Linked DNA regions of Sus scrofa. The protein of the gene in region 1 interacts with the protein of each later gene in a pairwise test. Links are inferred from orthologs where the notes say so. Each region holds a gene or a part of one and is shown in the gene's direction. Other genes may lie near its edges.

Region 1 (2,447 bases):
TGTGGTCACCTCGCTAGGCCTCAGTTTTCTTGGTTTTGAAATGGGGCTTTTCCCTCTTTCTCCTTCAGTCATTGCTCAGATCAGCCGGTGTCTGCATGTGACAGTGCTGGCAGAGGGCAGGGACACCGTCACTGCTCTTCTTTCATCATAGCCTGGGTGGCCAAGAGCTCTTGAGGAGCGTGGTCCATGCGGGGTGTGGCCGGCGGCCACCTCGTGGGGTTCCCAAGCACTTCCAGTGGGTCCTGGACAGAGTGCGGGGCAACTGCTCCGCTGGGCCCTCTGTCCAGGCTGCTCTGCCTGACCGTTCCTTTCTCTAGGGGCCCCAGCTGCCACCAAAGAAAGCGTCCCAAGAACCAAACCAGGAGGGCGGCTTCCAAGGCATGGGGTTCCTTTACGAGCGGTAAGAAGGGTCCCAGGGACAAGGCTGGGCCACAGGGGCTGGCAGGCAGGCTGGCCAGGGGGGAGCGTGAGCAGCTGGCCGTGCCAGCGGGGCTCGGGCTCCGTTGCCTCCTGGCCCCTGGCTTGCTTGGGGCCCCTGCGACTGGGCCGCTCCCAGTCTTCAGGCCCCAGGACCTGCTTACCAGGGGGGGAAGGACCCGATCGATGGGGGTCTCCCAGGAGCTCTGACTCTCACTCTTGTCTTTTTTCCCAGCAACCTGGGGGCAGACGTGATCGCTGAGATTGGCCTGGAGGAGCTAAACGGGCTGGAGATGGAAATCATGAGAAGACAGGTGAGCGTCGGATTGCCGGGGAGCCACGCGGAGGGTGGAGGCCGAGGCCCAGTGCCCTGGGGCAGGCGGGGCCTCGACACCCGCCTTGGCGATGCTCAGCCTTGCCAGTCGCATTATCCTCTAGCGGTGGAGGTGACGGTGACATCCAGGTCGCCCTTCCCTCCCCCCAGTCCCCTTGGCTCCCGTATCTATCCTGATGCCCAGCCCCAACCCTGTGTCTCTCCCCGAGATGCTGGAAGGAAGAAGGGGGGGCGTGAGGGGGGGGAAGAGAGGACATGGGGGCACAGGAGAAACTGGTGCTGAAAGAGCCATGCCAAGACATCTGAGTGAGGGGTCACCTTCCTTCAGACCAAGCCCGCGTCTTCTCAGGAAGCGACCCCAACAGGCAGGGGCACGGGCCTGGGGGACAACTTCCCTGGCAGCCCCTCTCTGGCCCCTAAGTGTCACCTCATCCTATGGCCCTCACTCTGCGGTGGCACAGCTGGGATGGGCTGGCTTCTTCCAGACAAGAGGAAGGTCCCCAAAGTGGGGGCGAGGCGGCGGGGCCCACCCTACACCCTGGCCTCAGCTGCCCGGCCTCCTTCTGGTCCAGACCCCCTTCCTGCTCTGAGGTCACACTTCTTCCCCCCGCCGGTGTGCGCAGGCTTCCCCGGAATGGCCTTGCTCACCTGCCAGCTCTGGTCTCTTGGCAGCTGCAAGTGATCACCGGGCGGCTGCGGGCCCTGGAGGACCAGGGCGCCACCTGGCGCCACAGGGAGACCCTCTTCTTCACCATGCTGGTATCCGTCTGCGTTGCCAACCTCTGGCTGTGGCTGCGCCAGTGATGCTTCACGCAGGCCACCTGCACATGGAGCCCTCCCCTCCTCCCCTTCCTTCCCTCGGCCACCCCTGCCGTCTCCTCCCCACCCTTCAGCAGCAGCTGGGAGGTGGAGGAAGGTCCGAGGGGGCTGAGAGGCAGCCCCCGTGGAGGGCAAGGAGGGTGGCATCCAATTGCCTCAGGAACACCAGGGGTAGGTGCTTCCTACCTGCCTGTCAGGGCTCCACGGTGACCGTCTTGGAGCCACATCTTGCCTGGGGGCCCTCGGTGTCCCTTCTGTTCCATCCTTGGCAGGGGCTTGGCTGTGTCGTCCCTGTTTTCTTCAATGTCATGCATTGGGCTCTGCACAGAGAATGTTCTTAATAAAAGTTTAGTGATAGCAGCAAACCCTGGTGGCTGAGCTTCTTGCACCCAGGACTCACGTGGGGACAGCCTATCCAGACAAAGACCCTGGTGCCCCTTCCTGCACCATCCTCATCCCTGTGGGGCAGAGTGGGGGGTGCGCCTTGGGGGCAGGCTCTGGCCTGTGGGGAAGCCACTCTGCGGCAGCCTGTCCAGGTCAGGCGATGCAAGGACTCAATCAGAGGAAATGTCCTGGGCAGGACCAGAAATGTTGCCATTTGCTCAGGAGGAAATGGAGTCCCAGGGAAGGGGAACGCAGCCCTGGGCTCATTCAGCAAGACTAAGGCCGGGCTGGGGCTAGGAGGGCTTCTCCTGAGACTGGCTGAGGCTCTGACTCAGCCCTGGAGGTTGCATGGGGGCCCACAAGGAGGGGCTTTGACCCCCCCACCCCCACCCCTCCGCCTCGTGTCACAGCCCTGTAACATGCCCCTCGTGCACGGGGAGGGCAGGGGGGCGTTGCTGGGTAGAGAATTGGGGCTTGGCCTGAGAGGGCAGAA
Region 2 (3,650 bases), on another chromosome or scaffold:
ATAGTGCATGTGTACTGTGTATGGGGTTTCCCTCTCCTTACATAAAAAGTAGCGTCGCACAGCCACTTGCTCACCACACCTGGTCACGCACCTGCGAATTCTGCAGACCTGCTCGTGTCAGGAGCTCGGCCTTTGTCACAGGTGCCTGAAGTCCCAGCCCCTGAGCCTAGCGGTGGTTTTGAGGGGACCCAGTGGCAGAGCTGGCTCGCAGTTCATGGAGAGCAGAGGGACACCCTTCCCTGTCCCTCGCGGTCCTTCTGCTCCGCCGCTGTCTGACTCCTCCCCGTCCCTGCGCTGAGGAGCCCAGAGGCCGCTTTCTGCCTCCTCGCCCTCTGCCGTCCCCGTGCTTGTCTGTCCTGTGTCTCCATCCGCGTGATGGGGGCGCGTCCAGCCCTCGTCCTCTCCCCAGTCCCGTCTCTCCCTGGGGTTTAATGAGTGTGCTGGACCACCCCTTCTTCCTCCCTGAAAATGGGGTTCCCAGAACCTCTCCAGGTGCTTCTGCCTGGAGGTGGTTTAAAGCAGACCCTGGGGTTCACGCTCTGACCCACGGCTGTTCCCAGCCCTTGATGCCGGGGGCATCTGCAGCCCTTCCGTACCTGTCCGTCTGTCTGTCTGTCCGGCTGGCAGCGACAGGGGCCCTGGGCATAGACCCGTGTCCTTCCATTAGTGTTCGGGTGCTGAAAGGGTCTGCTGGGAGCCCCCTGGGGACCCCGCCCCCTTTGGTCTTCCCATCCCCCCCTTCCCGCGCTGGCTGCCTGTCAAGTGTTTTGTTTTAAGCTTCAGCCACTTTTCACAATAGTGGTCAGCTCTCCGGAGTGCTCTGCACGCTTAGTGATGGGCAGACCTGGGGGGTGCGGGGCTGCCTGTGGGCAGCTGGGGGCGGGAGGACGCAGCCCTGCCCTGCGTCCTGTGCCTGGCTGACTTACCGGTCCCGCCTTTGTACCCGGCTGTGGGTGTGTTTTAGTCATACTTTAAATGGACACACTTCGTGTCAGCCTGGCAGTGGTTTTTCCTGCGTCTGGCATGCATGCGTTTCTTGCACTTGCTACAGGGAGGCCCATGTTTGAGAAAATCCCCAAGCCCTGGCTTTCCGGGGCTGTTTCTGAAACTGAGAAGTGTGCTCGTCATTTAGGAGTTGGGGTAAGGCTCCCCGACTAGAACATAGCCGGGTCCAGTGTGTCTGTTCCACTGGCCAGTCCGTGAATCCCGAGGACAGTGGCTTGGAGCGGTGAGCTGCTGGCAGCCCTGAGAACACCCGTGCTTGCCGACGTGGGGCAGGGCTGTGCCCTGAGGACCCTCTTTCTTTGCGGGTCCTAGGGAGGGGCCTCTGGTGTGGGTCCCTCTCCTCTCCCGCTGGGCACCTGCCTCGCGATCCCTGTCCCCAGTCGGTGTTTAGCAGGTGCTTCTGGGAAGGGCTTCATGCGCAGGGCTTCCTCCTGCCCAGGCGTGAGTGGTTGTGACAACTTCCCCAGGACCGGTCGCTGAGGGTGGGAGTCCTGGCCACAGGAGTGGCTGTCGGGTGGGGTGCTGCCTGGGGTGGCCCCTCATCGGGGCCCCAAGTGGGTGCTGTGATCTTGACTGTGGCTCTTTGTTCCAGTGCCACGAAGGTGGGGAAGCCAGGCGTCGGTGGGTTCATGCCCTTCGGGTTCTCTGGCGTGCTGTCAGGGGCAGCCACCTGCTTCTATGCCTTCGTGGGCTTTGACTGCATCGCTACCACAGGTACGCCCGCCCTTGGCTCCCCTGGGCACACCTGGGCTCACCTGGCCGCGGCCGCTCTCTCCCTTCCTGGGGGCGTGTGTCTCCCTCCCGAGAACCGTGTGGGTGTGTAGCTTCCTGCTCACCCGCCCCCGGCACCTCCCCACGTGCTGGGCCCTGGCCTCGAGCCCGGATGCTGACGTCGCAGCTGTAGCTGACTGCATATCTGCCTCCTCCCCGTCCCCCACCCGGGAGAAAAGGGGCCACCAGCGCTGTCATCGTGGCAGATTGAACAGCCCTTCCTGGGCTTCCCACATTGTCTCTGCCAGAGGAGACGGCCTGTCCTTGCTGAGCCACAGTGGGAAGGCCGAGAAGGCCGTCTGTCCCGGGCACCGTGTGCTCTGGTCCTCAGTGCTGAGGGCGCCCCCTCCCTCCCCCGAGCCAGGAAGGCCCCAGCCCCCTCCCGCCAGTACCCCCTGACCCTTCCTTCTTCCAGGGGAGGAGGTCAAGAACCCCCAGAAGGCCATCCCCGTGGGCATCGTCGCCTCACTCCTGATCTGCTTCATCGCCTACTTCGGGGTGTCGGCCGCCCTCACGCTCATGATGCCCTACTTCTGCCTGGACAAGGACAGCCCCCTGCCCGACGCCTTCAAGCACGTGGGCTGGGATGGTGCCAAGTACGCCGTGGCTGTGGGCTCCCTCTGCGCCCTCTCCACCAGGTGAGGAGCCGGGCTCCCGGGGGTGTGGGTTTGCTGCAAGCATCCCTCTCCTCCCTGGAGAGAGAGCTGCACCCCCCGACCCTGGCTGTGGCTTCTCCCCCTGTCGCTGCTGTCAGCCACCCCAAGGGCTGTTGTGCTCCTGACATTTCATCGCGAAGAACCCAAGCCCCATGTTTTAGCACCTTCTGCTCAGCAAGGGCCTGGCCGTCTGCCCCCCGACCATGGCCACTGGCTCAGGCCCCCTCTGTGGCCCCCAGTTTGAAAAAGGGAGCCAGTGGCTTTTGAGGAGAAACAGTTTGCCCTGCTCGCTCCTGCTGGCCTGGACGCACAGAAATGTGTGCAGGACCTCGGCTGACCGCAGAGAGGTCCCCTCAAGTGCAGCAGCGATGCTCTGATTTTCTCTTTGATTCAGCTAGAAATAATCAGTTTCTCTTCCAAAAAGTTACATCCTGATGCCCCGCTGGTTCACGGTAGACCTTTCCTGGTCCTGCACTTAACACAGACCTGCAGTGAGTGCTTTTCCTGGCGTGCTGCTGAGCCCAGGCCTCTGGCCGCTGCCGGGTGCTGCCTTGACTGCCGGTGGGCGATTGTGCAGATGCGTTTCGCTTCCTCCCATCCAGCCTTTTAGGCTCCATGTTCCCCATGCCGCGAGTTATCTATGCCATGGCTGAAGACGGGCTGCTGTTTAAGTTTTTGGCCAAGATCAACGACCGGACCAAAACACCAATAATCGCCACGTTAGCCTCGGGCGCCATTGCCGGTAAGAACTGGAGCTCGTTTCACACGCCGGTATTTTAACGGTGGAGCAGTTATTTCCTGGGGAAATACCTTGAATGGTGCTGGTCTCTAAGGAGTTATAGCTGGTCTTTTTAACATTTGTTTTTCACCCTTGGAATGTGGCTTATTACAAGGTAACTAATTCCCTTTTGATAAAAGGCAGAGAGGCCAGGTTTACAGAGGGTGTGATGGAATTCTGGAAATGTTTGAGTTTTTCAGTGATTATCATCTCGTTGGGCAGAGCTCAGAATACACACTGTCCCTTCAAAGCCCCACGTCACTTCTCTTGGGAAGTGAGTGTCTCTTACAATCAACGTTTTATGAAACATGCCACCTCTTCCCCAGGGGACGTGGCTGGTGAGGCCAGTTGCCCTGAGTTTATAAACAGTGGCAGACCCGGGACGGGGGCTTACCTTTTTTTCTGTTGGGCCACACCCGTGGCATAGGTAGGTTCCCAGG

Evidence for each region.
Region 2: the proteins of FATE1 (region 1) and SLC7A1 interact in binary tests that used the Homo sapiens proteins (3 or more experiments, as listed by UniProt). The two-hybrid records come from large-scale screens. The link is inferred for Sus scrofa from reciprocal best matches to the Homo sapiens genes FATE1 and SLC7A1.

The regions. Positions count from the first base shown.
Region 1 is NC_010461.5:123,111,244-123,113,690, forward strand, and holds the end of FATE1 (fetal and adult testis-expressed transcript protein homolog), read left to right. Parts: intron 1-317; coding exon 318-400; intron 401-652; coding exon 653-731; intron 732-1,423; coding exon 1,424-1,555; 3' UTR 1,556-1,935; downstream 1,936-2,447. UniProt on the Homo sapiens protein: Involved in the regulation of endoplasmic reticulum (ER)-mitochondria coupling. Negatively regulates the ER-mitochondria distance and Ca(2+) transfer from ER to mitochondria possibly implicating it in the regulation of apoptosis.
Region 2 is NC_010453.5:6,549,037-6,552,686, reverse strand, and holds part of SLC7A1 (high affinity cationic amino acid transporter 1), read left to right. Parts: intron 1-1,597; coding exon 1,598-1,719; intron 1,720-2,191; coding exon 2,192-2,414; intron 2,415-3,034; coding exon 3,035-3,174; intron 3,175-3,650. UniProt on the Homo sapiens protein: High-affinity, low capacity permease involved in the transport of the cationic amino acids (arginine, lysine and ornithine) in non-hepatic tissues.